2 linked regions of the Elephas maximus indicus genome follow. The protein of the gene in region 1 purifies or fractionates together with the protein of each later gene. This does not show direct contact. Links are inferred from orthologs where the notes say so. Each region holds a gene or a part of one and is shown on either strand. Other genes may lie near its edges.

Region 1 (16,425 bases):
TAAAAATTTCAAAGGGGAAATTCTGAGCTTTTTCTTAAAGGTGCCCTTTACTCATGCTCTTAGATAAAAGGCAAACTTACCTTAACGTGTTAAGGTGAACAATTCATATCACTGTCTTCCACCTACCCAAGAAAAATAAGAGAGACTCAGATACTTGGCTGAGCTTTTCTGTTTATTATGCCTGGTTTTACCCATTGCATTCTATAGCTGTTGGGAGGCAGGGAAGAGAATTTTGGCCCCCAAAACCACATGATTTGGGGGCAGAAAGAGGCACGCTGGGAGAGGGTCACTGTGGGTTCACAGAAAGGGTACTGAGGGCCCTGGCCATGTTTCCAGACCTCAGAGGCCAGCAGGGTGTGGCGTGGTGGGGCAGCCAGGGGTTGGGGCAAGACATCCACTATGCTGATAGGGGTCTCCTGGGGACGAATCTCCTTGGCCAGCCGCCCCTTCTTCTTCAGTGTGCAGGCCTCTTGGTACGGTGGAGAGATGGGGGGCTGCATGGGCGGAGTGTACTTGTACTCTGAGCCGTCCTCTAGCTGCAGGAACATATGGGGGTAATGGTGAGGACCTGAAAACTCAGGACAGCTGCTCTCCCCACTCCCTGCCTACTGCTGGCCAGGCACTCACATCCAGTGGGTAACTGCGGTCGGAATCATAGGCGCTCAGGTCCCCGCAGGTCACAAACGGCACAATGATGCGGGTGGGGCCATCCAGCTGGTTGAAATCTGGGTCTGAGGAACAGGGAGACAGAAGACTGAGGACTGGGCTGGGATGCCTGGGACCAGTCATGACCCAGGCCACAGCATGGCTACCAACTCCTCCAAGAGGATCCCTGCCCAGCTCTCCCCAGATATTCCCTATCTACTCTTACCATTCCTCCACCAGAAACCCTTCACTTGGTTCAGATCACCTCCTCAGGGAGGCCCACCATAATCACCCCTTCTAAAACACTGCCGCCCACTCTACTTTTTTTCCACAGCACTTATCTACACTTGACATTCTATTATATGCTGTTTGTACCTTGTCTCACAAATGTAATCTCCACAAGAACAGGCTCTTTGTCTTTTTTCCCCAGAGAGGAGGCTAAAAACCCTCATGGGGCAAAATTTCCACATAGAAGTGGAGTTTCCACCTGGGGGTGAGACTGAGAGGTTTCCTAGGATAGAATTTTCTTAAGCAGGCAGTCTCCACAGGGCAGGGCTCTGAATCTTTCTGGGAGAGAATTTCCATCAGGTCAAAGAGCAACCACCAGGGGACTGGGACAAGATATCCATAAGGGGGTAGAATTTTAACCAGAAGGTAGGGCTGAGGATCCTCCCAGAACAGCATTTCCACTAGGGGTGGGGCTAAGGACCCTAATGAGGCAAAATTCCCACAATGGGGTAGAGTTACCACCAAAAGGTAGGGCTGAGGATCCTTTTGGGATAGAATTTCCACAAGGAGGCAGAGGCTCCACTGGGAGTGGGACTGAGGGTCCTCATGAGACATAATTTCCATAAGGGAGTAGAGTTTTCCCAGGGATAGGGCCCAAGGCTCTGGCTCTCACCGTAAGAATGGTCTAGCAGAGGTTTGGTCAGGTCTGGTATGAAGCCCTCAGGAGGGTCATAACCCCGACAGACAGCGAAGGCCTCTGTGGATAGAATCTGGAGTGAGGGGTGACTGCCATCTCTGCCCGTACAGGATGCACCCCCAAGACTGCCACCCACCTACCTGGCCCCTCCACCCCACTGACCAATGCTGGAGTTACGGCTGCTCCTGGGCTTGGCACACACCACACTGGAGAAGAAGACCCGCAGCTGGCTATAGATCAGCGTCACATCACGGCCTCGGAATATCTGTGGGGTGGGGAGTCAAAGATAGGAGGGTGAGGGCGGCCCTCAAGGACTCCTCTCTACCCCTGACCAAGCTTCCCTAGACTCACCTTGGCCACAAAGCAGCCCCCTGGTTTCAAAACGTGTGTAGCAATGTTCAGAGCCTGTGGGCAGGACAGATGGCTAAGGCTGAGATGGAGACAGCCAGAAAGGAGCCAAACTGGGGCAGGGACAAGCCAGGGTTACTCACAGCTAGGAGGAGCTGGGCCTGCATGTACTCATCCACATCATGGAGGCCAGTTACTGTGGCAAGAGGAACAGTGTTAGGGGGCCCTTTCAGTTCTATGTATCTTCTTGTACCAGAGAGGTTCCCAGAGGTTAGAAAGCTAAAAATATTTCCTAGGCTCTCTTACTGCTAAGGTTCTGGATGCAAATTAATATCTAACCAATTGGAAGCATACGCTGAGCTCCTAACCCTTCAAGGAACTCATTTATTTTCAAAAATAACCTCATGTGCAAGTACCATTACCACTTCCATCTTCAGCTCAAACTGCAGCTCTGAACTCCAGACTCATAGATCAAACTTGACATCTCAGATTCAACACGTCCAAAACCAAACTCCTGACTTTCCTTCCTGAACTTTCTCCTACCATCTTCCTCATCTCATTTGATCCTTACAGTTGTTCAGGCCAAAAACCTGAGTTACCCTTGACCCCATCCCCACATCCAAGCCATACCATGAGCAAATCCTGTCAGCTCTGCTTTCAAAAATATATTGAATCCACCCTCTTCTCATCTCTACCACTGCTTCCACCATCACGACTCACCTGGACTAATGCAGACTCCTTCCTCCTCACTGGTCCCCGTGCTTCCACCCGCACCCCTTACATTGCTCAGTAGCTAGAGGAACCCTGTTACAGCCCAAGTCAGGCATGACACTCTTCTACTTAGAATCCTCTCATGGTTTTCTCCAAGCCCCCATCTCACTCAGAGAAAAAGCCAAATTCCTCACTGTGGCCCTCACCTACAGGATCTGGCCCCTGTCACCTCTCTGACCTTATCCCTGACCCCTTCTCCCCCTCACTCATTCTGCTTCAGCTATACTCTTCCTTCTCATTCTCCTACATATACGTCAAGCACACTCCCGGCTCGAGCTTTTGCACTGGCTGTTCCCTTTGTCTGTATGGTTCTTCCTCTAGACACATCCATGGCTCACTCTCTCATCTTTAGGTCTATGCTCTAAAGTCAGTGAGGCCTTCCTCATCCACTTTATTTAAAATGCCAGTATGCACTCCCCACTTCCCCTCCCTACTTTGTTGACTTCCCCATGGTACCTATCACATTTTAACATGCTACATAGTTCAATCATTTATTTTGCTTCTTTTCCATCTGTGCCCAGCTCCATGAGGTCACGAATTAGTGACATTTTATTCACTAATGTTTTCCCAATACCTAGAACAGTGCTTGCACACGGTAGGTGCTCAGTAAATGTGTTCTGAATGGATGATTGACTGAATAAATGGAAAAATGAATGAAGAGTAAAATGGAATTGGACAGTTGCACAGGGATAAGAGGCACAGGTGGACAACAAACACAAAACAGAAAGGTGGAGGGGGGGAGGGAGAAGACTGAAGCAGAGAGCAGACAGCAGAGGTGGGAAGTTGCCAGATATGGGGAAAGGCTGACAGCATAGGGAAGAGGCAGTGAGAAGTTAAGAGATCAAAGAAATCAACAGTGGTGGAAGATCCCGAGAAAGACATACACAGGGCCCCCCCACCCTGCTGCTTACCATCAGGAGCCCCATCACACACCACTAGGTCTGCAGGGCAGCCCTCAAAATGCTGAATTATCTCCTTGGCAGTAGATAGCTATGGAAAGAGGGAGAATGAGTGGCTCCAGGGCTCCCCCAGCTGCTGCCCTTGAACCCCACCTGCCCAGGACCCCACCCCAGGCAAATTCTCAGGCTTTGCCTGTCTTTGGGGACCTAGTCTCATCTTTTTTTTTTTTTTTGCTGTTTCTCTGTGACGACAGCTGCTAGCCCTGTTTCTCCACTGTTACTCCCTCTCAGCTACTGTATCTCTCCTTCTTTCACTTTCTAGTTCTCTCTGTCTCTTTCCTATTTTCTATAGCCTCCAGATGGGGGGCCTTCACCTAGGATACACCCTGACTATCCTGGCCATGCTCTCACCTGGGTGATGTCCCCCTGTATCTGTAACACACCTGGCAGCGGAGCCATAGCCTGCAGGTCCACGGCCACCACATGTCCACCCCTGTGGACAACATGGCCCATGTCAGTCCAGTCTTCATACCCAGAACCCCCCACCCAGCCCCCCTCCCTGTCCCCCACCAAGGAACCCCACACTCACCCAATTTTCTGGCTCAGCACCTGGCTCCAGCTGCCCGGGGCTGCGCACAGGTCAACGGCCCGCATCACGCCTGGGCACACACAGGAAGGTGTATTAGTCAGCTGCACCTGACTCTCCAACTCAGGGACCCTGCACAGTTCACCCCTCTCCCCTGGGGAAGCACACATCTATCCATTGTCCATGCACCCAACTCTTCCTCGGGATTCTGCCCATCTTCCTGCCGGCCTGTCTGCCCCAGAGATCCTCCAATTGAGCCCACCTACCACAGGGAGCCCTACAGACCTAGCCAACTTGTCTATCCCCCTTGAACCGGCCCCCTCAGCAACTCGCCCGCCAGGTGGGGACCTTGGAAGAGTTGGAATTCCTCATCGAGCTGTAGTAGCTTGAAAGCACTGCGGGCACGCCAGCCATTCTCCTTGGCCAGGCGGTAGTAGACATCCCGCTTGTCCTTTGATGTCCGTCCCATCTCACGTACTCTGTTTGCCCAGGGACCTGCCAACAGTAAGCTGATGCCAACCTGTATCAGTAACTGGGTAGAGGGGCCACTACCTACCTCTGTGGGGGCTGGAAGAACCACATAAACCAAATCAGGCTCAACTGACTCACATGACAGCCCATTCAGCAGCAGGGAAGACTAAAGCCCAGTCACTGATGCCAATGACCTCAGTGACCCAAACAACACCATTACTGGGCCTTCAGGCTCTATTACTCATTTCACAGATCACCCATCCCTGATCTCACACAATTCCCATCACTGACCCCAGAGACCCCTATCACTCACCCCACAGACCCTCCATCATTCACCTCAGAGCTCCCCATCACTCACCTCACAGACCCCCCATCACTCACCCAACAAATCCCTCATTACTCACCTCACAGACCCATCATTTACTCCACAGACCCCATCACAATCCACAGACCCCCATTACTCACCCCATAGATGCCCACTCCCCCAATACTTATCTCAGAGATGACCCATTACTGACCCTGGCAACCCCCCATCACTGTCATCTGCACTCCACACATTAAACCCCATGATTCGCACAATCAGCCCTTCTTTGACCACCTCATCCCCATTAACATCTCACTGACCACACTCCCAATTGTTCCCATTGCCCCTGGATTCATATGCCCTCATTAGCCCACCATTAATACCCTGCTTTTTTCATCCCATTACCCTCCTAAAACTACCTCATTGCACTCCCCAGCCCCTTAGTCTTCATCTCTCTCTGCCCACCCCATTCTCCATTAATTCCTTAAATGATTAAACCAAAACCAGTGTCATCGAGTTGATTCCAACTTGTAACGACCACATGCCTGTCAGAGTAGAACTGTGATCTGTAGGGTTTTCAGTAGCTGATTTTTCTGAAGTAGACTACCTGGTCTTTCTTCCAAGGCACCTCTGGGTGGGCTTGAACCACCAAATGCTGCCTGGTCCTGTTGGTATTTATCAACCCCGCTTAATGCCTAAAGGATCATGCCATATTAGACTCCCATTAAGCTCTCAATTATTATGATTTATCAGCCCCCATTAACTCATTAGCCCCCGATCAATCTCATAGTTCATACCCCCGTTAGTCTCCTGTAGCCTCTCTGTTACTCCCTTGACACCAAATTCTCATCAGTTCCCAATTCTCCCCTCACTGCCCACCCTGCCCTCCACTAATCACTGGATGACCATGCCCCAACAGTTTACTATTTATTACTCTCTCCTCATTAATTCCTGGATGATCAAGTCATGATAGTCCTACTAACCCTTTGACTACAATACCCCATCAGTCCCTCATTATCTCTTCTTTGATCACTGCTCCCATCAGTCCCTTGATTATCACATTAGCCCTCCATTAACCCCTCGACGATCACCTCCATCGGTCTCTATTATTCGCTCTGTAGCCTCACCATTACCTTTTCGATTAGTATGCCCCATAGCTCCCCATCAACCTGTTAAATACCATACCTCCTCATCAATCCCTTGATCACACCCCCATATCCACCTTCCATTACCTTCTAGTTGCCCACTCTACCACCCCTTCGTTTATCAATCGCTGAACACACCCAAACCGGCCCTAATGAACCTGTTGATTAAAAACACTCCTATTAACATCCCCATCGGACCTCCATTACCCAACTGCCCATTAACAACTCTCTGACCACACCCCTAGTGCCTCCGCATCCAAACCAAAAAACCAAACCCATTGCCGTGGAGTGGATTCCGACTCATAGCGACCCTATAGGACAGAGTAGAACTGCCGACCCTATAGGACAGAGTAGAACTGCCCCATAGAGTTTCCAAGGAGCGCCTGGGCGGATTCGAACTGCCGACCTTCTGGTTAGCAGCCGTAGCACTTAACCACTGCACCACCAAGGTTTCCTCCCTGCTCATCAGTGCCTCAAAAATTATGCCCTCATCGGAACCTCCAAGCCCCCCTCAGGCGGCTCCGCTGATATCTGGACCCCGAGCCTATGCCGAAGAGTAGTCCCCTTACGCACGGAAACCTTGGGTCTGGAGCCCACCTAGTGCCGGCTGCCAGAGCTAGGCCGCCGCCAACGCCCAGGACGGACCTCTTTCCTTCCCCCGCCGGCTGGACAGCGCAGGCGCGCCTCGACAGAACCTAGGCCTGGATCCACATCCTCCTTGCCCCGCAGCCTACCTTAGCTTTCAGAGTGGGAGGAAGGAGTCTGGTCCGTGAGCAGCCCGAGCCTCGGCGAGAGCGCAAAAAGGAGAGAAATGGTAGGGCTTCAGTTTGTGCCCTTAGTTGACCCGAATGCTCGTCGCACAGGCTTAAGGACGAATGCAGCAAGGTACGGTTGGCAATCGGGTTCGCTGAGGCTCCAGCGCGGCCTGGACTCGACCTGAACGTGCAACGTGAGTTCCGTCATCTTGTGTTGACGTGGCTGGTCATGCGAATTGCCGTTCCCAGCATGCAACGGGCACGACCAAAGCTGCTGAATTCGCTCACTGGGTAGCTGAAACATCGCGAGGCACAGGAACTGATTGTTTGTTCTTTTGTTCTAATGCTAAAATCGATTTCCTTCCTCACTACTCTTGGACCGTGGCGTTAGTTGAGCCTGCGGACTACGTTTCCCAAGATGGGACGAGCACGATGGTACCCATTCATTTTACATGTGTTGCGAGGCGGAATTATCGATAGGAATAACCCGTTGCCTTCCAGTCGGCTGGTGGGTTCGAACCCAGGGCTCCTCGTGAGAATAAGGAGGTTTTTTTATGCTAAGTATGCGAGCGCTCTGAAGCTTCCAGCCTGAAGTTCGAATCCTACCTCCGGCAAATGCTAGCGCTTCCTTTTACCATCTTAGAACTTCCATTTTCCCCGTTTGTAAAATGAAGATAATAAATAGTACAGGCTTAACAGATTTATTGGGAGGATTAAATAGGTGTAGTTTAGCACACTGTCTGTCTGGCGGCTCGTAATTCTGTGCTTCAAACATTTTTTAACTCCGACCCACAAAAAAAGATACACATCGCGATCCAGTGCACAAACATAATAATGGAAACATTTATTATAGCAGTTACCATGTACTAGGCACTAAGTGCTTTCGGTGGTGTCCTGGTAAATGGCTAACAACCTGCGTTCTGGGAAGGAGAAAAAAAAAGTTCCGATTTCTAACATTTGCCAATTTCATTGGTTTACATACCCTCATCTCGGCTGACTTAAGGTTACTAACGTGTAATCACTCAACACCGAGTTGGGACGAAATGCAGTAGCGCACCAATATATCATATTCTTACCATATAGACAGAATAGAGGTAAATAACCTCAAGAGCATAGATAACAGTGAGATGTAATAAAATAATTAGAAAGTGATGCGTTTTGAGCATTTATCACCTTTTAAAAATATAATTTAGTTAATTGTAAGTTTTTATCATTTAATTTTTAATAATAGCTGTGTTGAACAACCAGTTTGCAAAATTCCCTCAAACCGTTAGAAGTTGGCTCCAGCACACCCACTGAATGCTTTTCTTATATTAGGTCATTTAATCTTTACAACCACCATATGAGGTGGTTACTGTAATTATGCCCATTTTACAGATGAGAAAACTGAGACAAGGAAGGATATATATTATATGAAATATATAAACATTTGCCATTTAATTTATATGATCATATAGAAATATATAGTGGTATATAATACTTACTAATATATAAAATATATTAAACACATAAATATATCATTATATGTGAATATAAAGAAATACATAATGGTATATATTTTTTATATATACATATAAATATATATGTTAATATATATAAATGTGCTACTATCTATATGGAGCCCTGGTTGCACAGTGGTTAAGAGCTTGGCTGCTAACCAAAAGGCTGGCAGTTCGAATCCACCAGTCACTCCTTGGAAACCCATGGGGTGTTCTACACTGTCTTCCAGGGTCGCTATGAGTCAGAATAGCTCGATGGCAACAGGTTTTTTGTTTTTTAGTATCTATATGCATTTATTTATACAACAAACTCCTTGTACTAAATATAAATATACCATTAAATAAATATATATGGAAACCCTGGTGGCATAGTGGTTAAGAGCTACAGCTGCTAACCAAAAGGTCTGCAGTTCGAATCCACCAGGCAGTTCTTGGAAACCATATGGGCAGTTCTACTCTGTCCTATATGGTTGCTATGAGTTGGAATCCACTTGATGGCAATGGGTTTGGTTTTGCTTTTGGTCAGAAGAACCAACAAGTCTGTCTTGGAAGAAATACAGCCAGAGTGCTTTTTTGGAATCAAGTATAGCAAGACTTTGTCTCATGTACTTTGGACATGTTATCAGGAGGAAACAGTCCCTAGAGAGGGACATCATGCTTGGTAAAGTAGAGGGTCAGTGAGAAAAAGGAAGACCCTCGAGGAGATGGATTGACACAGTGGCTATAACAATGGGCTTAAATATAACAATGATTGTGAGGATGGGGCAGGACTGGGCAGTGTTTCATTCTGTTGGACATAGGGTCAGTATGAGTCCGAACTGACTCAACAGCACCTAACAACAACAGTAATTAAATGTATACTGTTATGTCAGCTGGTGAAAAAGCTGTGAAGAATAATAAAGCAGGGTGAAAGGGGATCAAGAGTAACAGAGGGGTTGAATTGTTATTTTAGACAGCATGGTCAAGGAAGGCTTTCTTTGAGGAGGTGACATCTGAGTTGAGACCTGGATTAACTGAAGAGGAGCCCACCGTACAAATATTTTATGAAAGAGCACTCTAAGCAGAGGGAGCATCAAGTGCAACTGACCCTCAAGTGAGAACCAGCTTGGCGAGTATTCAAAGAACAGAACAATTGATTTCATCATTCCTTAGAATGTGAGCTTCAGAAAGACAGGGATTTCTGTTCTGTCACGTTCACCCATAGCCAAAACCAGTTGGTGTTCAACAAATGCTTGTCAAATTCACCATTTTGTTTCATTATTCCTTCATTCTTTCCTCAGTGGTGCGGAGCCCTGGAAGGAGGCAGTGAGACTCTAGGAAAGAGGTGTAGACAGAGGAGCTGAGACCGGACACTGACACCTACCTGAGAGAGCACCCTCCTGGAGGAGTCACTGAGGGCCTGGGAGGAAGGGAGAGCTTTCTCTGCAGAGCTCAGAGGGCTTGTTGTGGGTGTGAGGGCTGAGGTCCTGGAGACAGTGGGAACATGGTTCCCTGTAGATGTGAGCGAGTGTGAGAAAGGAAGGGTTCAGGACACCAGGCTGCTGCCCCACAGAAAGGAGAGAGCAGCAGGCATGGGAGAGGGGGGACCCACATTCACCTTGTGGGACACATCCCAAGTCCTGTTTTCTTGCTGCTCATAAAGAGGATGTTTAATTTTTAGCAAAAAAAACTTGCTTCCTGCAGCAAGGCCAGGGGCTTGAGGGTCAGGAGCCAGGCTCTGAACACCCCAGGCTCTTCCTGAAGTAGGGTGTCAGCTTGTAGCTCCCACCCGGCACCCCAATAGGTGTAAAGGTCTCCTCCCATCAGCCTCCTGGAGGGAGGCTGCCAGACCAGCTCTTTACATCTAACAGTGTGAAGGAAAGAAGGGGCTCCAGGGGCACAGGATTAGACCCTGACTCCAGAAGCCCTGCTGCCCAGAGCCTGCTTTGAGGGACGGAAGAGACTCCACGGAGCTCCTCAGTGGGAAGCCTGCATGAAAGGCTAGATGAAAATCCTAAATGCACCTGAGTAGAGACTGGCTTTAACCAACTGAGAATAATCCATTAATTATTATTTTAAAAAATTTTTATTATGCTTTAAGTGGAAATTTACAAATCAAGTCAGTCTCTCACACAAAAACTTACATACACCTTGCTAGAAAAAAAAAAGTTTTTTTTTTTTCTACTCTCTCATCTCCCCTCCAGACAGGAGACGCCAACATAGTCTCAAGTGTCCACCTGATCCAAGAAGCTCACTCCTCACCAGCGTCCCTCTCCATCCCATTGTCCAGTCCAATCCCTGTCTGAAGAGTTGGCTTGGTAGTGGTTCCTGTCCTGGGCCAACAGAAGGTCTGGGGTCCATGACCACCGGGGTCCTTCTAGTCTCAGTCAGACCATTAAGTCTGGTCTTTTTACGAGAATTTTGGGTCTGCATCCCACTGTTCTTCTGCTCCCTCCGGGGTTCTCTGTTGTGTTCCCTATCAGAGCAGTCATGGGTTGTAGCCGGGCACCATCTAGCCCTTCTGATCTCAGGCTAATGTAGTCTCTGATTTACGTGCCTCCTTCTGTCTCTTGGGCTCGTAATTGCCTTGTGTCCTTGGTGTTCTTCATTCTCCTTTGGTCCAAGTGGGTTGAGACCAGTTGATGCATCTTAGATGGCTGCTTGCTAGTTTTTAAGACCCCAGACGCCACTATCCAAAGTGGGATGCAGAATGTTTTCTTAATAGATTTTATTATGCCAATTGACTTAGATGTCCCTTGAAACCAAGGTCCCCAAGCCCACGCCCCTGCTACGCTGGCCTTCGAAACATTCACCCATGTCCCTGGTACGCTGGCCTTTGAAGAATTCAGTTCATTCAGGAAACTGCTTTTGGTTTAGTCCAGTTGTGCTGACCTCGCCTGTACTGTGTGTTGTCTTTCCCTTTGCCTAAAGAAGTTCTTATCTACTCTCTAATTAGTGAATACCCTTCTCTCACCCTCCCTCCCTCCCCCCTCCCGTAACCATGAAAGAATATTTTCTTCTCAGTTTAAACTATTTCTCAAGTTCTTATAGTAGTGGTCTCATACAATATTTGTCCTTTTGCAACTGACTAATTTCACTCAGCATGATGCCTTCCAGATTCCTCCATGTCGTGAAATGTTTCACAGATTCATTACTGTTCTTTATCAATGCATACTATTCCATTGTGTGAATATACCATAATATATCCATTCATCTGTTGATGGGCACCTTGGTTGCTTCCATCTTTTTGTTATTGTAAACAGTGCTGCAATGAACATGGGTGTGCATATGTCTGTTCATATAAACACTCTTATTTCTCTAGGATACATTCCAAGGGGTGGGATTGCTGGACCGTATGATAGTTCTATTTCTACCTTTTTAAGGAAGCACCAAATCGATTTCCGAAGTGGTTGTACCATTTTACATTCCCACCAGCAGTGTGTAAGTGTTCCAGTCTCTCCACAACCTCTCCAACATTTATTATTTTGTGTTTTTCGGATTAATGCCAGCCTTGTTGGAGTGAGATGGAATCTCATTGTAGTTTTGATTTGCATTTCTCTAATGGCTAATGATCGTGAGCATTTCCTCATGTACCTGTTAGCTACCTGAATGTCCTCTTTAGTGAAGTGTCTGTTCATATCTTTTGCCCATTTTTTAATTGGGTTATTTGACTTTTTGTAGTTGAGTTTTGGCAGTATCATGTAGATTTTAGAGATCGGACACTGATCGGAAATATCACAGCTAAAAACCTTTTCCGAGTCGGTAGGTAATCTTTTTGCTCTTTTGGTGAAGTCTTTGGATGAGCATAGGTGTTTGATTTTTAGGAGCTCCCAGTTATCTAGTTTTTCTTCTGCATCGTTAGTAATGTTTTGTATACTGTTTATGCCATGTATTAGGGTTCCTAACGTTGTCCCTACTTTTTCTTCCATGTTCTTTATCGTTTTAGGTTTTATATTTAGGTCTTAGATCCATTTTGAGTTCGTTTTTGTGCGTGGTGTGAGGTATGGGTCTTCTTTCATTTTTTCGCAGATGGATATCCAGTTATGCCAGCACCATTTCTTAGACTGTGTTTTCCCCATTTAATGGACTTCAGGCCATTGTCAAATATCAACTGCTCATATGTGGATGGATTTATGTCTGGATTCTCAATTCTGTTCCATTGGTCTATGTATCTGTTGTTGAACCAGTACCAGGCTGTTTTGACTACTGTGGTGGTATAATAGGTTCAAAAATCAGGTAGAGTGAGGCCTCCGACTTTGTTCTTCTTTTTCAGTAATGCCTTATTTATCTGGGGCCTCTTTCCCTTCCATATGAAGTTGGTGATTTGTTTCCCCATCTCATTAAAGAATGTTGTTGGAATTTGGATCAGAATTGCATTAAATGTATAGATTGCTTTTGGTAGAGTAAACATTTTTATAATGTTAAGTCTTCCTATCCATGAGCGAGGTATGTTTTTCCACTTATGTAGGTCTCTTTTGGTTTTTTGCAGAAGTGTTTTGTAGTTTTCTTTGTATAAGTCTTTTACATCTCTGGTAAGATTTATTCCTAAGTATTTTATCTTCTTTGGGGGCTACTGTAAATGGTATTGATTTGATAATTTCCTCTTCAATATTGTTTTTGTTGGTGTAGAGGAATCCAACTGATTTTTGTATGTTTATCTTGTATCCTGATGCTCTGCTGAACTCTTCTATTAGTTTCAGTAGTTTTCTGGAGGATTCCTTAGGGTTTTCTGTGTATAAGATCATGTCATCTGCAAATAGAGATACTTTTACTTCATCCTTGCCAATCTGGATGCCCTTTATTTCTTTATCTAGCCTAATTGGTCTGGCTAGGACCTCCAGCACAATGTTGAATAAGAGTGGTAGTAAAGGCTATCCTTGTCTGGTTCCTGATCTCAAGCGGAATGCTGTCAGGCTCTCTCCATTTAGGGTGATGTTGGCTATTGGCTTTGTATAAATGCCCTTTATTATGTTGAGGAATTTTCCTTCTATTCCTATTTTACTGAGAGTTTTTATCACGAATGGGTGTTGAACTTTGTCCAATGCTTGTTCTGTATCAGTTGATAAAATCATGTAGTTCTTGTCTTTTTTTTTTTATTTATATAATGATAACATTAATTGTTTTTCTAATGTTGAACCATCCCTGCATGCCTGGTATGAATCCCACTTGGTCATGGCAAATTATTTTTTTGATATGTTCTTTAATTTTGTTGGCTAGAATTTTGTTGAGGATTTTTGCATTTATGTTCATGAGGGATATAGGTCTGTAATTTTCTTTTTTTGTGGTGTCTTTACCTGGTTTTGGTGTCAGGGATATGCTGGCTTCATAGAATGAGTTTGGGAGTATTCCGTTCTTTTCTATGCTCTGAAATACCTTTAGTAGTAGTGGTGTTAACTCTTCTCTGAAAGTTTGGTAGAACTCTGCAGTGAAGGCATCCGCGCCAGGGCTTTTTTTTTTGTTGGGAGTTTTTTGATTACCTTTTCCATCTCTTCTTTTGTTATGGGCCTATTTAGTTGTTCTACCTCTGTTTGTGTTAGTATAGGTAGGTAGTGTGATTCCAGGAATTCATCCATTTCTTCTACGTTTTTGAATTTGTTAGAGTACAATGTTTCATAATAATCCGATATGATTCTTTTAATTTCAGTTGGGTCTGTTGTGATATCACCCGTCTCATTTCATATTTGGGTTATTTGCTTCCTCTCCAGTTTTTCTTTTGTCAGTTTGGCCAATGGTTTATTAATTTTGTTGGTTTTTTCAAAGAACCAGCTTTTGCTCTTGTTAATTCTTTCAATTGTTTTTCTGTTTTCTATTTCAATTAGTTCTGCTCTAATTTTTATTATTTGTTTTCTTCTGGTGCCTGAGGGTTTCTTCTATTGCTCTCTTTCTATTTGTTGAAGTTGTAGGGATAATTCTTTGATTTTTGCCCTTTCTTCTTTTTCTGTGGTGCATTTATTGACTTAAATTGGCCTCTGAGCACTGCTTTTGTCGTGTCCCAAAGGTTCTGATAGGAATTATTTTCATTCTCATTGGATTCTATGAATTTCTGAATTTCATCCTTAATGTCTTCTATAGTCCAGTCTTTTTTGAGCAGCATATTTTTCAGTTTCCAAGTGTTTGATTTATCTTCCCTGCTTTTCCTGTTATTGATTTCTACTTTTATGGCCTAATGGGCAGAGAAGAAATATTTCAGTGTTTTGGATTCTGCTAAGGCTTGTTTTATGACCTGATGTGTGGTCTATTTTAGAGAATGTTCCATGTGCGTGAGAAAAGAAAGTATACTTGGCTGCTGTTGCGTGGAGTGGTCTGTATATGCCTATGAGGTCAAATAGGCTGATTGTGGCATTTAGATCTTCCATGTCTTTTTTTGAGCTTCTTTCTGCATGTCCTGTCCTTCACCAAAAGTGGTGCATTGAAGTCTCCTAGTATTATTGTGGAGCTGTCTACCTCACTTTTCAGTGCTGATAGAATTTGTTTTATGTATCTTGCAGCCTTGTCATTAGGTGCATAAATATTTAATATGATTATATCTTCTTGGTATATTGTCCCTTTAATCATTATATAGTGTCTTTCTTTATCCTTTATGATGGGTTTAACTTTAAAGCCTATTTTGTCAGAAATTAATATTGCCGTTTCTGCTCTTTTTTGATTGTTGTTTGCTTGGTACATTTTTTTCCACCCTTTGAGTTTTAGTTTGTTTGTGTCTCTAAGTTTAAGGTGTGTCTCTTGTAGGCAGCATATAGACGGATCATGTTTTTTCATCCATTCTGCCCTCTCTCTTTTTCTTTATTGTTGCATTTAGTCCATTTACATTCAACGTAATTATGGATAGGGATGAATTTAGTGCTATCATTTTGATGTCTTTTTTTGTGTGTTGTTGACAGTTTCTTTTCCTACTTAATTTTATGTGATGAATAGATTATCTTTATATATTGTCCTTTCCTCATTTCGTTGTTGTTGATTTTGTTTTTGCTGAGTCTTTATTTTTTTCTTGTATTTTATTTTGATGTGTAGGATAGTTTGTCTCCTTTGTGGTTACCTTATTATTTACCCCTATTTTTCCAAATTTATATCTAACTTTTATTTCTTTGTATCGCCTCGTCTTCCTCTTCATATGGAAGATCTATGACTACATTTCTTAGTCCGTCTTTATTATTTTAATGTTGTCTTCTTTTATATAATAACATCGCTGTTTCCCTGTTTCGAGCGTTTTTTTAATCTTGATTTATTTTTGTGATTTCCCTGTCTGGGTTGACACCTGATTGCTCTGCCCAGTGTTCTAGTCTTGCATTGGTACCTGATATTATTGATTTTCTAACCAAAGAGCTCCCTTTAGTATTTCTTGTAATTTTAGTTTGGTTTTTACAAATTCCGTAAACTTCAGTTTATCTGGAAATGTCCTAATTTCACCTTCATATTGAGAGACAGTTTTGCTGGATATATGATTCTTGGCTGGAATTTTTTTTTCCTTCAATTTTGTATATAAGTCATCCCACTGCCTTCTTGCCTGTGTGGTTTCTGCCGAGTAGTCAAAGCTTATTCTTATTGACTCTTCTTTGTAGGTGACTGTTCGTTTATCCCTAGCCGCTCTTAAAATTCTCTCTTTATCTTTGGTTTTGAAAAATTTGATTATAATATGTCTTGGTGACTTTCTTTTAAAATCTACCTTATGTGGAGTTCGATGAGCATGTTGGATAGATATCTTCTCATCTTTCACGATTTCAGGGAAACTTTCTGCCAACAAATTTTCAACAATTCTGTATTTTCTGTTATCCCTCCCTGTTCTGGTACTCCAATCACTGGTAGGTTATTTCTCTTGATAGAGTCCCACATGATTCTTAAGGTTTCTTCCTTTTTTAAAGTTCTTTTATCTGATTTTTCCTCAAATATATTAGTGCCAAGTGATTTATCTTCAAGTTCACAAATTCTGCCTTCCACTTGCTCAATTCTGCTCCTCTGAGTTTCTATTGAGTTGTCTACTTCTGTAATTTTATTTTTAATCTTCTGAATTTCTGCTTGCTGTCTATGGATTTTTCCAGCTTATTAAATTTTTCACTACATTCCTGAATAATCTTTTTAATTTCTTCAACTGCTTTATCTG
Region 2 (15,767 bases), on another chromosome or scaffold:
CCAGTGACTTGTTTCTGTCACCAGGTGTGCAAATTCCTGGTGCAGCTCAGCATGGATTTCAGCTCGTACTACAACCGCATACACATCCTAGGGGTAAGCACACAGCAAAAGGGGGTGCATGGGAGGCACAGGAGGGGTGAAGGCAGGGGCAGCAGAGGATGAGAGCAGCAGGCCTCTTCTCCTCCAGGAGCCCCGACCGCACCTCTTTGGTCAGATGTTTGCTCGCCTGCAGCTTCTGCGGGCCGTGCGTGCAGTGCTGCACGCTGGCCTGGCCATGCTGGGCCTCCCTCCACTGAACCACATCTGAAGCAACAAGGCCCTAATGTCACAAAGTCATCGACTGGGGGAAAAAAAAACAGCCCCACAGATTTTGTTAGGGGCCTGGATGCAAAATAAAATTGTTCTGTTGTAAAGCTGTGTCCTACTGTGGAGTGTGGGGGTGGGTGCGTCCTCGGTCTGGCAGGTAGCACTTTCCTCACCCCAGCTCCTGTTCTGAAGTCAGGAGCTCGAAGCTGCCTCTGCCTCCTCTCAAGGCACGCTGGGCACGGGCATGCTCACTCACTGTTCCACTCTGTCTGCGAGCAGGCTCCACGCCCAGCATGCCTGCCACCACGAGACATCTCAGTCATACCAGTTGTAAACCTCAAGTCCCTGGCCCCCAAGAGCACAGCGGTGACCAAACTCAGGGCTCACAGGCCAACAGTCCATGTCAGCCACATCTGGTACATGGTACACAGCACTGTTCATGAAGGTGGGCTCACCGTGCCCCAAACGCCAGAAGGTCAACCGCTGGTCGATGGAGGCTGAGACCATGAGGTTTGGGCTCAGAATCTTGAGACCTGTCACATGCGCAGCATGTGCACAAGGAACAGAGTATTCCTCTAGCACACGCAGCTGAGGTCTCAGCTCAGCCTCCCCAGCAGCCTCTTCCAGCTCTGGCACCTCCACGGCAAGCACAAAGACATGGAGAGAGCCATCTTCACTGCCACTGGCCACAAGATGGTGGCCCTCACACGTGGGCAAGGTGTGCAGGCTGTTGATACCGCAGCTGTGGGCCTGGAGAGTGAGGCAGGGGGTCCCCAGCTCTGGGGGAAGAAAATGCTTTTCACGACTCAGCCTGCTACATGGGTGAAGGTAAAGGGGTAGGGTGGAGAAGGGCAGTGCAGTGCACACCAGCTACTCACGGGAGGGAAGCCCAGGCTCTGCTGGTGGCTCTAGGGCAGTGGAACCATGGTCTAGCACGGTGGTGAGGTCCCAGAAGGCCAGGCTGCCATCGGTGGCTGCACTGCACAGAAGCAGCCTCCTAGGAGCCAAGAAAGGGCAGCCAGGTTAATGAGGGGGATGGAGGACAAGAGCCCCGCTCCCAGGACCCTCACCCAGCCCCGCTCACCGCCGCCGGCTGGGTGTCTCATGTGTGAAGGAGTGAACCTTGAGTACACACCGCTTGTGGTGGAAGGTTTCGGCAAGCAGCTGAAGCCGCCGCCCTGAGTCCTGTAAGACAAAGAGCCTGGGGAGGCAGGGGGCAGCCCAGCTTAGAACTCAATCTGGACAACCTCGTCCCTCTTCCCCCAGCCCCTGGGCCCTATGCTCTCACCTCACTGCCCCATCACTACAGGCTGCAGCCACGAGGGGGCCAGGGCCAGGCCGGTCAGGCTCACACACAGCCAGGGACATGTACCTGCAGCAACAACACACAGCCATCAGGTAGGGCCTTTGAGCCTAGGGGCAGCTGCATGGCATGGGGCTTGCCCTGCATGACCCCACCCTACGCTCCACGCCACCTGGTCTCTGGGTCCACCTTGACCATCTGGTGCCGATTGCGCTGCCGATCCCAGTACTCATCTAGCCGATGCGATGAGAGGTGCATGATGTGGCACGCAAGGCGGCTTGGGGTGCCAGGGTCTGGTGTGACCATGATGCTGAAACACTGCATCTCAGCCCGGCCCCCGGCAGACACCACATAGGCAGTCAGGCCTGGCCGAGAATCCTGAGGGCCACCTGGGGTGCCGGGGCCCCACACGGCCACCGCACGCACCGACGAGATATGGTTGCCAACTGCTGTGAGCGCGTGGGCCGCACCCGTGGCCGTGGGGAGTGCCAGCACACAGACGGTAGTGTCTTCACTGCCTGTGATCATGATGTCGATCAGGCCAGGCCCCTTGCTGCCAGGCTCCAGGTGGTCAGGTTGCACAAGGTTGGGCACCTCAAATTCAGGCCCCAGGGTGATGGTGCCCACACGTTTTACACAGGTGATCTCTCGGCCATGCAGACCCTCCCGGAGAATTACATGTGGCCTGGTACAGCCACCCAGGGCCCGATACAGCATGACGTCCCCATCCTTGAGGTAGGCAAAGGCCACAGCAGCCTCGGTATCCGAGAAGGCCCAGGAGCGGTGTCCTCCACCACAGCTGATGATGTGCAGCTTCTCGTGTGACCGGGGGCTCCATACCACAAACTCATTGGCATGGAAACCCAGGATAACCATGCTCCCATCGGCCACCATGCGGAGCCCAGCCAGCCAGTTCATGCCTCGACAGGACTTCTGCCGTAGGACTGGCTGGAGCTGGCCGCCTCGCACAAAGAGCTGGTAGTAGGCGCCGTCGCGCCCTGTGGTATACACGTAACCACCATGACAGGTGACAGAGGTCACGCCCTGTTTCCCATGCAGGGAAGGGAGTGTGGACACAGGGCCCAACTCAGCCGAGGTGCTCCTTCCCCCACCACTGCAACCACTCACGCCAAGTCCCCCAGCCCCAGCCTTGCCTCCAACCCCAGTGGCCTTGAGCAGACCTGGTCTGGAAGGGAACAGCAGCACGGAGCCCCGGCGATCCCCGAATACCAGGAAGTCTCCTGGGGGCAGGAAGGCACTGCACGTGTGCCACCTCTGCTTGCTTGGGGGAAGCAGGTAGCGACAACGTTCCTTGACAAAGATGGCCTTGCCAGAGGGTGCAGCTGAGATCTCCAGACAAGTGACCACTCCACTAGGGCCCGATGCCAGCAACAGGAGCTCCTCATAGCCACGCAGGGCCCAACTCAGGCTGTGCACCTTCCCCTGGAACAGGGTCAGGTCCACGGCAGCAGTTGGAGTGTTGATGGGGACAACCTTGACACGACCCTCCCCGTTGGCCATAGCACACAGCCCGAAGCCCTCAGGTCCAGGAGCTGCTTCCAGGAGGCAATAGGACTGGAAGCGCTTGTCCTCCAGGAGCTGCTCCCAGCACTTGACCTCGAGATCATAGAGGTACAGAGACCCTTTGTCAGTCACTGCCAATACTCGCCAAGAGCCAGCCAGTGTTACGGCCTTGAGGGTGCCTGCCCTGCTACGGGACTTAAAACAGAGAGCTGAAACCCCCGAGCCTGGGTACCCACGGCCTACCAGGTGCCACAGCCGGATACCTGAGTCATCACCCCCGGTGATGACCCAGGCCTGCTGCTCGTGGGCAGCTAAGGCCCGGATCCCACGGCCCTGATGGCCCCGAAAGGCCTGGAGGATCTCACCTTCGTGGCTCCAAACCAGGCAAACGCAGTCTTCTCCTGCGCTGATAAGGTAATTCTCCAGGAGCTTGACCTGCCACACACGGGCACTGTGCCCAAAACAGTGCCCAATATTTTGCACTCGACCCCCAGGCACCCGGAGGTCGCCCACCTTCCAGATGCGGACACTTCGGTCTTCTGAAGCTGTGGCCAGCAAGCCCTTGCTTTCCAGGTACGACATGCTGAAGATGACACCCACATGCCCACTGACCCGCCGGTCAGGTGCCACAGGCTCGATTTCTGACGTGGTTGCTGGGTACCAGACCAGGAGCTCGTTGGAAATGGCACCCGCCACCATGGTCAGCTCCTTCCAAGTGTTTCCAATCAGGCAGGCTGAGGAGAGGGTACACCTATCTGTGCAGGGCACCTCCTGCAGGGTACGTCCTACCATGGGGTCGTAGAGCACCACTGAGTTGTGGCCCAGAGCTACGGCCACATTCTCCTCCAACCAGCATGTATCCCAGATCCAGTCGGACATGCTCCACAGGCCAGAGCGCCAGACCTCCCGGAAGCGGCCCTGCCCCCAGCTAACTTTCACAACTCGGAGCCCCTTGCTCCCAAACACAGCCACTGTGGCCTGTGACTCCAAGTCTCCACCGGGCTCTGACCGCACCCGGAACCCATGGATAAGATAGTGGCCAAGCAGGTTCTGTACTCGCTTCATCATCCGCAGATGCCCACCAAAGTCCAAGCTGTATACCAGGACGTCCGGACCCTCACCTAGACAGAGGCAAAGAGCCGCATCAGAACCTCCCACCTAATGCTGGTGACCTGTGGGGAAGGGACCTATCAACATGTAACCTGTTAATGTGTTAGGACACGTGATCCCACAGGCGTGAACCTCGAGAAATCCTTGGTCTCAGTTTCAGCCAGATTTTCAGTGCTGGCTTTCTGCTCCCTTTGTCAGAGGCTCCAGTTCAATTCAACTGTGAATTCCTTAAACTCTTAGCCTCCTCTTTATCTACCTCCTCTCATGCTTCAGACTGCAACCCCCTCAGCTTTAGTCCCCAGGTGGCCCCATCTACCTCTCCATTCATCCTCCTTCCTCCTCTCTCCTCCACTGGGAGGAAGGTTGTCCTGCTAAGGCAACCTTTCCACCCTCAGGTCAATGGCCACACCCCTCCTGATTTTCAGAAGCCTCTCCCTATATCTGAGAAGGGGTGCGTATGTTCAATATCAATGGGAAGACCAAGGAGAGACAGCCCACACTTTGGTCTTGGCAGAGGCTTGGGCTTGAGTCCTGGCCCTGCCATTGGCCCACTGTGTGAGCCCCCCTTCTGGGGTATGGCAGCCTTGGCTCTGAGAGCCCCAGAGCAGCAACAACAGAAAGGGATATCAGGAGGAAGGGAGGAGGTAAGAGACATCCAGGGCTGAGACCGAGTCTGGCACATGGCAGAAACACAACAAATATAGACTACAGAAACGTCATTTATTGCTTCCTGACATGCGCGCTCCTTGCTTTGCTCCTTAGCCTTTCCCGGATGCATCTGCTCCAAGTACTAGTGTTCCCACAGGCTTTACTCATGCACAGACTTTCTGGACAGCCTCATCCTCAACCCAAATAGCTCTAAAACCGAGCACCCAGCTGCCTCCTGGTTTTCCTGCAGGCACCTGCCACTCCACTGACATCCACCCCAAATTCTCTCAGTGCTCCTCATCCCAGTGCCCATCAAACCCTCTGCCCATCCTCCAGTCAGAAACCTGGAAGCCCCCTGCTTGCTCCTCTCTCAACCTCTCACTTCTTATCTGTCTCCAAGTCCTGTGGATTTCCCTTTCTAAAGAGTTCACAAACCCTCGCCACCATAGCAAGGTTGGTGCTTTTACCTGAGAGACCAGCAACAGCCCCTCACACCACTGCTGACCGGCAATCTCCATCTTTTAACAGTCAACAAACATTTACTCAGCGTTGATAATAAGCCCAACGCTGAACTAGATGCTGTCAGTGAACAAGCACAGACACTGCCCTTTTGGATTAGGCAGACACTAAACAGTAAAACTGCTCAACTACACCATTACAATTCTGGCAAATTCCAGGAAGAAACCCTACAAGTTGCCGTAAAAATATAAAATGGGAAGGTCTAAAACAGTGTTCTCACAGGGGGTGACTTTGCCCCCCAGGAGACATCTGGCAATGTTTGGAGACAGTTTTGGTTGTCACGACTTGTGGGGGGGGGGTGCTGCTGGCATCTACTGGGTAGGGCAAGGGATACTGCCATGAACAAGACAGCCCCTTACAAAAAGAATTACCTGGTCTAAAATGTCAGCAGTGCAGAGGTTGAGAAAGCAGCCCTGGTCTAATTTAACCAGACTGGGTGAGTGCAGGGGAGGTCACCTCGATGAGCAACATGTAGGCTGAGGATTCAAAGATGAGCAGAGATCAGCCAGAGGAAGAACAGACAGGAAAGAAACTTTCTTGGCAAGGAATAGCAGGTGTGAAGCCCTAAAGTAGGCAAGAGCTTGAGGTAGTGGGTCAGAAAATGAAAGATTTAAGAAGGTCAGAGAAAATATTACTGAGGACCTAAAGGAGACATAGTGGCATGGCCTCAGGTAATGTCAGTAAAGGCAGAGAAACAGACAGGTGCCATTTAAATGATGTCAAAATCAACTAGACTTGGTACCTAACAGGCCTGGGGAGTCAAGCAGATTCTCAGGCTTGGGCATCTGAGTGACTGGTGCTTTCCCTGCTGAGCTGAGCCATCAGGCAGATGGACCACTGAGGGTAGATGGGATATTTCAGTTTGTAAGCACCTGTGCACCTGGGCAGGGGACTCTGGAGAGAACAGGGCTGAGGATTCATATTATATTGAAGCACACATGGAATTAAAAATTGTAGCTATATAAAAGCCACTTTGGAAGTCACAGGAATGGGTGAATTCACTTGATGGGGAGCCTTCTAACATGCATTTTCCACCAACTCATTTTCTTGCTTAAAACCCTTCCGCTGGGCCACCTCACCGCCCTTAAGAATAAAGTCAGATCAAGCCCTAAGCAAATCTGACCCCAGCTCACTTCTCCAGCCTCCTCTCCTCCCAGGCCTCACCCCTGCTCTAGCCTCAGAGGAATTTCTTCCTTCCTGAAAAGTAACCAACTCTTCTGGCCTCACTGCCTTTGGCATGCTTAACCTCTGCCAGGAACTCACCCCTCCCCTTCTCCTAGTTCATTCTGTGGTTCTTTGGGTTTCTACTTAACTGTCCCCAAATCCTGGAGCCTTCGTAGTTTAGCTCGAGAGGCTCCCAGAGCCCCCAACCAAGATCAAAACTGGGCATCCGCTACTGCCCCCCACACACTCCCTTGCCTGCCTAAGACTGGCAGCAGCTCACTCAAGGCCCTTTTAAAACAAAGAAGCACCTCATCGCCATTGTCAGTCAGTAGCTTCATGTCAGACCTCATCGTTCCGCAGGTCTCTGCCGCCTCCGGTCCCAGGCCCCTGGGCCAGTCACCGGAGCCTGTGCTTCCCCACCTGGCCCTCCTCGGAGGGGAATCGACACTGGATTGCCCGGACCCCAACCATATCAGGAGGGGCCTCATAGCCCGCTTTCCGGGACACTGTCCTACTTGGAAAGGTCTCATCCCCAGTTTCCCGCGACCTCAGAGTAATTTCATTCCCATCTTCCCTGGAAAAGCCACAACCCCGCCCCCAGCCATACCCGGCCACGCCCCCTGGGGGGCTCACCACCCCAACCCCCGCTCCGCCTCCTCAGGAGGGGCCAAACCCCACTCACCTCCTCGAAGAAGCCACGGACCCCTCCCCCGAAACGGCCCCGTTATCCCGCACTTTCCCGCGGCCGCGCCTGCCTTGTCCTGGTCGGCTGCAGTTTACGAAGGGCTGCAGTAGCCTCATCAGTATTTGTCTCCCAGGCCCATCCTCGTTCCCGTCGTCTCCTGGGGTCCCTTCCCGCCTCCGATCGGACCTCGCCCGCAGCCCACCCTCCTCCTCGGGGCATCCCTTTGTTCCTCGCGGCCCCGTCCCAGGCTGGCGCTCAGTTTCTTAGCTCGCTAGCGCGCGCTTCAAACCAAACCTCACCCGCCAAAAGCCGGTCCCCCACGCACTCCAGACCCGTGACCGGAAGGAGTATGAGCTCCGAGGTGGCCCGCGGCCACACGTAGTCCTCTCGAGCGTCCATGTCGGTCCTCCTCGAACTGCGGCAGCCGCCACCACCACCAAGAAAAGAAGCTACGCTCTCGCGAGAGCGACCCTTCCCCGCGCGGTGCGCCGCCGATCGACTGCGCTTTTGGCTACAGGTAGCAGCGCCTAGGGACGCCCCGGCGCAGCTGATGTCCAATGACGACCCTCCGCCCCACGCGATCCCGCCCACGATTGGCGGGGCCCGCGGAGGGGGCAGCCCCCGCCCCGCCCCTCACGTGACGCTCGCGGAGCACTCGGGGCTGCTGGCGAGCTCCGCCTGACCGCGTCTGCCTCCCGCCCGCCCGGAGCTTCTTAGGCCAGCGGCTCGAGGCCGTGTGATTTTATTTGGCGTTATCAGGGCGGCATCGGTCTGTACACAATAAATAAGATGAATATAGGAACTGCGCTCCAGTCGCAGCTGGAGGCGGGCGTGGGGCAAGACATGGGCCATGCCTTTGGTCTGCAGCAGGGCAGGGGGGCAGCAGGGCCCGATCTCAGGCAATGGCCGCCTGGAGGGGGAGGGGGCGGTGCCGGCCCTCCCCTCAGAGCTCCACGTGGGCGTCGCGGTAGGCCCGGTCCAGAGCCCACTCGGGCTGCGAGTCGGTGCCACCTTCACGGGCCAGGCGCGCCATCTCCTGCTGGAAGAGCGCCTGTCGCGCCCGGCTAGGGTCCACGTTGATCCAGTTGTTGGCGATCCACTTGGTGCCGCGCGTGACCAGGCAGCCTCCGTGCAGCGAGTAGTCGTCCACATCGCCAACCCAGCCTGTCAGTGGAGGGTGTTGTGAGCAAGGGAAAGGCTGGGAGAGACCCTAGGCTGGGCTGCTCTAAGTTCGGCCTCTTCTGGTCCAAGGGCTCAGAGGGGGCCCAGCTGTGCACACCTCAGGTAGCAAACATGGAGCCCCAAGGCCTCCTTGGGATCTTAGCATCTCAACCATCTAGTGCTTTGTGAACACCACTGGCCCTCCAAGACCAGCTTTCTTACTGCCAAGCCTGGACACAGCACTTCTCAGGCTGGGTTGGGAAGGGGCATGGGTCCACACAGCCCCAGAGAGCAGGTAGGTTGGGGCGTCAGGGAAGGATGACAGGTCAAGATGACCCAAGAGTCTACACTGGTGCCGGGGCAGCTGCTGAGGTCAGTTAGGATGATCTTTGAAGGCGCACCAAGGACAGAATGCTATTTGGGGGTGGCCAGAAACAGCCCTACAGGGGGCTGGGTAAGGAGAAGCTTTCCCTGGGCACCCCAGCCTGACCACAAGCACTCACCTTGCCCATCAGGCAGGTAGTTGTACCAAAAGACTGCTGTGCCCTGCCGGGGCTTAACACGCAGATTTCCCTTGTCACAGTGCCTCCGAGTGTCACGGAGGTCAACATCATCCTGAATCAGACTCTGTGGGCAGCAAGGTGCTGGAGTTTGCAAGCTGCCTCCACTGCATGGCCAGGCAGCCAAAGGTGTCCAGAGGCAAACCAGCCAAAAGTGCCAGGGTGTGCTTGGGCCTTCCTCCCAGGCCTGGCAGGGTGTGTGCTAGGTGAGCCCAAGGCCAGGCAGCCCACAGGCAACAGCCCAGCCAGCCCTTACCATTTCATCATAGGTCCTGTTGTCTGCTACTGGGAAGACGGTCTCACCCCCGCCGGTGACGTTGTTCAAATAAAACAGCACCGTCATATAGCTGTAAGGCAGGGGGACTGCTGAGCAGGTCTCTGGTTGTATGACACTCCCAGGGGCTCACCTATGGGCAGGACAGGCTGGCCGGGTTCCCGGGGGCCAGAGGGACAGGACAGTGCCAAGGTGCCCCAGTCCCTCCCCACAAGCCCTATTATTCTGTGTGTCACCATGTATTTTGTGGCCAAGATCATAGATGCACTTAGCTAAATTATGTGGCCCTGACCAAGGCCCCATCTAGGCAAGGTAGGCTAGTAGAACCAGCTCGGTCATGCAGAAGGGCTGGTCAGGGCTGCAAGGGGCTGAGCCACAGCAGCCACATGGAAAGGAAACACTGACTGGCCTCATGTACCTTGGCAAGGAAGGGGGACACGGGAAAGAGAAGCTGAGGCCTCCAGCATTGGAGGCAGGATCAACACCTGGGAAGGTAGAAAGAACTGGGGACCCAGCCTTGCCCCTAGCCTCAGACCTCTGGGGGCAAGTTTCAGTGTCTGTGGGTACCTCAGTCACTGTTGACTAGAGTGGGCAAGGTGGCCAGCAGCCACCCCTATACTGCCACTTGTTAAACAACTTGGAGGGAGAGCCAAGAGCTGTATCGACCAGAATGGCCTGAGTGCCCTTCTGGCGCCGTGCAGAGGGGCATGCCCACAGGACAGAACTGTGCCTGTGTCACAGAGGTGCCTGGTCTGGGACCCAGAGGCAGTCCCCCGGTAGGAAACAGCCCCCAGGACGGAGGTACTTGCCGGCAGGAGGTCTCGAAGGGTCCGGACTCGTTGGCTACCAACTTGGTGTGAGAGCAGATGGTCTCCGGGTACACGGGCCCACTGTCCACGTGGGCGTGGTAGTGGCCTCCCTCTCCATACCGCACAACCTGCAGTGGCTCACTGAGCTCCACGATCTCAGGCGACAGGCGGGTGAGACGTAGCACCCTGGTGGGCAGCAGGCAGTCGGCTGGGCACCCTGAAGGAGCCAGCCAAGATGGACCCCGGGCCTGCTCCAATCTCTGCCCCTGCCCACCTTCCCTGGAAGCCCCTTGAACCACCCCACACTGGCCCTGTAGGGGCACGAAGGGATCACTCATGATAAGCCCTTCTCCCTCAATGTTAGACACCCATTGGGTGGAAAAGATGAAATTCCATTAAGTTTGGGGGCTCAGACCTGGACTTGCTGACCCCATCCCATCCCCTCAGAAAGGAGGTTGTTCATCTAAAGCATCTGGCTGCTCACGGTGTGAGGTCCCGTGAGCAGAGAAAAGGGTCATTTCTTCTAATTAGCTGAAAACAAATACTCCATCCATTTCTCATCCCAATTGTATAGCGTTTGCCTACAATGAGGGCTCATTTGTCTTTGTTAATTGCCCGTCTTCCAACAGGTCCCCATCCTGGTCTAAAAAGTGGAACTCAATCCTGAGGTGGCTAATCAATTCTGTCCTCAGCCCTAGTTAAGGGCTTCTGAGGGGCCCCAGCATGTCTTCTCCCCTGTACCAGGCCAGAGGTGGGGGGAGGACAGCCTCAAATGCTCACCTCTGGCGGATGGCACGCATGACATGGTGGGCACCCTCACCCTGGTAGAGCCACGTGTGGTGGCTGTTCCGCACCAGCTCACTGGTCTCTGCCTTGTGGCTCCTCATATACTTGTGGAAGTCCCGAAGGTCCATGTTGGAGAACTCTTGCAGACTCAGCACTCCTGCACAAAGAAGCTGCCATCAGTGCCCACCAAGCCCACAAGGGGAAGCCACAGCAGCAACTGCACCTCCCTGTCTTCCCCAAAGGCAGCAGCAGCCCCTGGCCTCAGGCACTGCGAGGCCATATGTACCTGTACCCCACCTGGACTCTTGGGTCAGATGAACCTGGTTTCAGTCACATCAGACCCTAAGGGAAGACCCAAAGGAGTTCATCGTTTCCTCAGTTAACCCCTCTGATTTGGCCCTGAAAGGGAAGAAGCTGTCCCCTCCCCACCATTAGAGTGGCCAGAGCAGGGTCTCCAAAGGAAACTTGAGCCGCGTGGCCAGGGCCCTAGGCTAAGGACCACCCCAGCCTGTAGCCTGGCTCTGAAGAGTGTGGCGGCCACCCTTCAGTCTTGTGGAGGGTAAGGAGAGAGAGTAGCCAGCACTGGGCCTCCTTCAGGGCCTTTCACACAGGGCGGTGCAGCCTGGGGCTGGTCCTCAGGGGATGCCTCAATACCTCAGGTCCCATCCCTGACAAAACACATCTAGCCAGGCCTGTCTGCTGGGTCACTGGCCCACTTTGGCAAAGAAAGCCAGGCTGCGCCCCCAAATGAGAGCCCCCTCTCCTTGTTCTTGCCCAACCCATAAGGCAGGGGCTCCGCCCCCTTGAGGCTCTAAAAGAGTAGCTGGTGCCTTTGCTCCATGTTATCCTGTCTGACCCAAAATCCTTGGCCCGGGTTTTTCTGAGGGTAGGGGACACTCCAGGGCTGTGAGCCTGTCACCAGCTCTGTACATGGGGGCAGTAGCAGTAGGACACCCCTCCAGCCACAGGTCCAAGTCAGATTCTTCAATCTCGCTTCACCAGCCATAAGGCCATTTCTCCCAGTCCTGTTTCACCTGTCTATCTTCCTCAGTCAGTATACAGAACTTAAGCATGAGGGTGATGACCATACCTCAGAAACTTCCTGGGTAGTTCCCAATTTGGGAGAGGCCATTCACATGACAGCTTCCCTGCCCACCCCCACCCCCACCCCCACCCCCAGTAGTTAGCAACACCACCACTTCTGTGTTTCAGCATGGCTCCAGGTCGAAGGAGGAAAAAGGGAGACCTCAGTTAGATCAGGGAGGCTGCCTGCAGGGGCAGACCCCAGACCTGGGTGGAGAGAGGCGGATGGAGCAAGGCAAGCAGCCAAGCTCAAGCCTGCACTCCCTGTTCCCTTGCTTCTGCTCCACTCACTCTGCCAACTGACAGCCCCACATCCTGCATCCCAAACTCTGCCTGAGGAAGGTCAAAAGGATCTCCAAGAATTGCTCTCAGGTGTCACCAAGAAGAATGGGAGGGGCTGGCTGCCTGACCTCTTCCCAGGGATAAGGGACAAGGCTGGGCCCTCACCTCCACATCTCTAGCCACTTCAGAAGCTGGGCAGAGAGGGCATCTGGCTATTGGGACAGCACCTAAGCTTTCAAGATGGTGCACCTGGGAGTAGGCAGGAAGCTCACAGGGACAGAACTGTGGTGAGGTATGAGCTCACCGTCGCCATCAGGGTCAGCCTTGATTGCAGAGTACATCTCCTGAATGCTCTCTGGAGTCATCCATCGTCCATTTCCCAGGCGAGTATGGGACAGGACCTGCAGCACAAGAGGTTCCATCAGTGAGTTGGCCCCAATAATGGTAAGTCACCAGAGCACAGATGGCCCAGTTCTTGCTGTAGGGCTAATGGTTCAGGTGAGAGGGCATTGACAAAGACACAGGTTAGAGCCTGAGGGTCCCTGGAAAGAAGTGAGGGTGGGCAGAGAGGGTCAGAGGCATCTGGGGAGGAGGCCAGAGGGTAGTCAAAAGGCCTGAAAGCCACAGGCACTTCCAGCCCTGCTGGTACTGTGGCCTCCATGGGGAGCACTGGTGGCTGGTTGGAGGCAGAGTGAGGAACAGACCTCTGTCCCACTCAGATACTCCAGGTGGGGTGGGGGAAGCCAAGCTCTGGGTGTGAAGAGAGAACAGGCACCAGAGGGAGGCCTGACCAGGGCATGGCCACTGGGGTCCCAGGAAGACCAGGCTCAGGGGGGTGCTCTGTCCGGGGAATAAGCCTCATGCCCTGCCAAACCTCTCTCAGAAGCCCAAGTGTGAGGGGCATGTAGGATGTCTGGATTGTTGCCCACTTCAGAACTGCCATCCCATCTACCATGAGGTCTGTGGGGCCCCCAGCTATGGCAGCAAGGGATCTAGACCAGAGAAGGCACACCACCTGAATACTGTGGCAGTAAAAGCCATCACCCCCAGGTGGATTCCCCTGACATCTTCGTGTTCATAGGGCAGCAAGGGGAGACCTAGACCTGGACATGCCCAAGCTAACCTGGGGTGGCATCTGACTCTTGAGGCTAGGGTCGAGGTAGGTAGACAAGTGAACTTGTCACCAGAAAGGAAATTCTGGGCACTCCCACCCTGTGTGTATTCAAGTCCCAGGATCCCAACCTCACGAAGTTGCAGGCGACCATCATGGTTCTGGTCCAGTAGCCGGAAGAGGTCTAGCTGGCTGACCTGCATTGTACCCATTGCCTCCTCGTACTCCTCAGTGGGCAGGATCTGGCTGCGCTGTAAGCCCTTCATCTGCGCCAGGTGGATGGTGAGCCGACACTCCTCATCACTCAGGAAGCCAGGGATTTCTGCCATAAGAGGAGAAGGTGGGTGGTGAGGCCTAGGACTGAGCCAAGGCATTGATGCTCCCGGGACCTTCCTCCCTGCAGGGCTCCTGGGGCCTGGAGCATTCCCTGTCCCCTACTGGCACACATCACTTTACATCTGCTCTGGACTCAGGCCCCAAGGTCAGGTTGTCCTGCAAAGGTTGGCCAACTTTTAGAATGTGGGCCTTGGTCTTCCACTCTGAGAACACATATTTTCCAGGGGAGTCCTGGAAGGAAGCCAGAGTTAAGCCGAACCTGAGTTAAGTTCTCCCCACCCTGGGGTGGGGCAGAAGGCCAGAGGGTAGACCTCTATTTCTTAACTAGAAAAAAAAATATATATATATATATTTAAAAAGCAGAGGGGTGGTAGCTGGCTCTTGCTTTCATTTTTGCTTTTCAGCATTGTTCAAATAAAAACAAGCAAGGCATACAAAGACATCCAAGAATTGGACTGGACTACAAGACAGAAAATGATACTGGTGAGGAGTGGGCTTCTTGGATCAAGTAGACAGACACATGAGACTATCTGGGCAGCTCCTGTCTCGGGGTGAGATGTGAAGGCCAAGGGGGACAAAAGCTGGCTGAATGGACACAGAAACACAGGGTGGAGGGAAGGAGTGTGCTGTCTCATTAGGGGGAGAGCAGCTAGGAGTATATAGCAAGGTGTATATAAGGTTTTGTATGAGAGACTGACTTAATATGTAAACTTTCACTTAAAATAAAAACAAAAACAGAAGACATCCAAGTGCTCTAGGCCAGTCCAAGGGCCTTGCCCACCATTCTTCTGCACAAGTGGCATTGGTCATTTGACCAGGGCTGGGTTGTTGACTTTCCAGGCTGGGAGGTTGGTGGGGGGCCACTCAGATTTTTGGCAAATGCTGGTCTCTAAGAAGATGCTCGAGGTGCCCTTTGCTTCCCCAATTCCTTCAGGCACAAATGTAGTACACTGAGCAACTGCTCCATGCTCCTAAGCTTCCGAATATAGGTCGGACCTGGGGTTTGGCCCTAGTGGCTGGACGCCCTCGCACTGGTAGGCAGCTTGGTGGAACTGGAACACCCATGTCTTGGCATCCCCAAGCCCTTCCCTGGAAGAGAAGAGCCCAGGCCCTGCTTCATTCCCTACTAGGGAAGAGAACTTCCTTAGATGGGGGACAGAGGTCCACACAGGGGCTGATTGAGAGAGGACAAAAACTGCAGCTGTGTCCCCTCAGAATTCCTGCAGAGGGGCCTGCAGCTTATTTTGCACTGTACTCCCAGCGTAAAGTTCCAGTCATTGCCGAGAGGAAGGAAAATGGCTGCTTTGAGCCAGGAATGGAGCAGTTTTTAGTAGTAATCACAGCAGATCGTATTTCGGTAGCGCAGACTCTGTGCCAGGCACTGTCCTAAGCACTTCATACATATCGACTCCTTAATTCTTACACTTGTTACAGAACATCAGTCCCCAGTAGGTAACCTTTCTTTTCAGTGAGGAACCCCAAGCACAGGGAGCTCGATGACTTTTCCAGGGCCACCTAAGCTGTTGTACTCCAGAATCCATGCTCATGACCAGGATTCAGTTTCCAGGAATAGGTGACCCAGATATGATGACACTGTGAACAGGACAAAGGGCCCCACCCCTGGCCTGCATGACACCTTCCCCCCTGCCCGCCATCCCGCGCCCACCAACCGTGCAAACCCAGAATGCAAACCCAGAAACGGTGTGAGCCAGGCACTGGAGGCAGCCCTGCTGGACAATGAGCTAGATCGAATTGCTAATCAACAGTCGCCTTTTGATTTTTTTTTAAGTAAACAACAACAACAAAAACACAGGGTCAGATTTCTTTTGTTTATTAGGTGCTGGTAACCCACAGGCCCAACAGCCCCCTACCCTACCTCACCCCTGCTGCGGTGTTAATCAAATGCAAACAGCCCAGGCCAGCGGGCTGAGACCTAACCAGGTGGGTCCAGGCACTTGAGAGCTGGGTAAACACCAGCACAACCCCCCACTCAGGCCAGGATGGACAAGGCAGGTCACGGAGCAAAGGCTGTGGCTGCTGGTGGTGTTGTGGAGTGATGTGGGGCAACAACGGTTCCCTGGCGCCCCTCATGGTGCATGCCCATTC

What was found.
Region 2: the proteins of FTSJ1 (region 1) and WDR6 purify together in Homo sapiens (affinity purification with mass spectrometry; 3 studies listed by BioGRID and IntAct, with this or other methods). This does not show direct contact. The link is inferred for Elephas maximus indicus from reciprocal best matches to the Homo sapiens genes FTSJ1 and WDR6.

Annotation. Positions count from the first base shown.
Region 1 is NC_064846.1:123,178,557-123,194,981, forward strand, and holds the start of FTSJ1 (putative tRNA (cytidine(32)/guanosine(34)-2'-O)-methyltransferase), read right to left. Parts: upstream 6,920-16,425; 5' UTR 6,829-6,919; intron 4,684-6,828; 5' UTR 4,644-4,683; coding exon 4,508-4,643; intron 4,248-4,507; coding exon 4,178-4,247; intron 4,082-4,177; coding exon 4,000-4,081; intron 3,680-3,999; coding exon 3,601-3,679; intron 2,115-3,600; coding exon 2,062-2,114; intron 1,976-2,061; coding exon 1,922-1,975; intron 1,836-1,921; coding exon 1,733-1,835; intron 1,631-1,732; coding exon 1,547-1,630; intron 732-1,546; coding exon 628-731; intron 537-627; coding exon 339-536; intron 123-338; coding exon 90-122; 3' UTR 81-89; intron 1-80. UniProt on the Homo sapiens protein: Methylates the 2'-O-ribose of nucleotides at positions 32 and 34 of the tRNA anticodon loop of substrate tRNAs. Requisite for faithful cytoplasmic translation.
Region 2 is NC_064838.1:53,518,559-53,534,325, reverse strand, and holds WDR6 (WD repeat-containing protein 6), read right to left. Parts: upstream 7,757-15,767; 5' UTR 7,659-7,756; coding exon 7,559-7,658; intron 7,344-7,558; coding exon 7,257-7,343; intron 7,142-7,256; exon of another isoform or gene 6,883-7,141; intron 6,248-6,882; exon of another isoform or gene 6,196-6,247; coding exon of another isoform or gene 6,153-6,195; intron 4,255-6,152; coding exon 1,782-4,254; intron 1,679-1,781; coding exon 1,595-1,678; intron 1,508-1,594; coding exon 1,391-1,507; intron 1,304-1,390; coding exon 1,185-1,303; intron 1,086-1,184; coding exon 622-1,085; 3' UTR 374-621; downstream 1-373. Other genes in the region: DALRD3 (DALR anticodon-binding domain-containing protein 3), read left to right, coding at 25-93, 188-307; P4HTM (transmembrane prolyl 4-hydroxylase), read right to left, coding at 8,203-8,423, 8,924-9,047, 9,237-9,327, 10,064-10,249, 10,844-11,006, 12,519-12,615, 13,457-13,647. UniProt on the Homo sapiens protein: Together with methyltransferase FTSJ1, methylates the 2'-O-ribose of nucleotides at position 34 of the tRNA anticodon loop of substrate tRNAs. Required for the correct positioning of the substrate tRNA for methylation.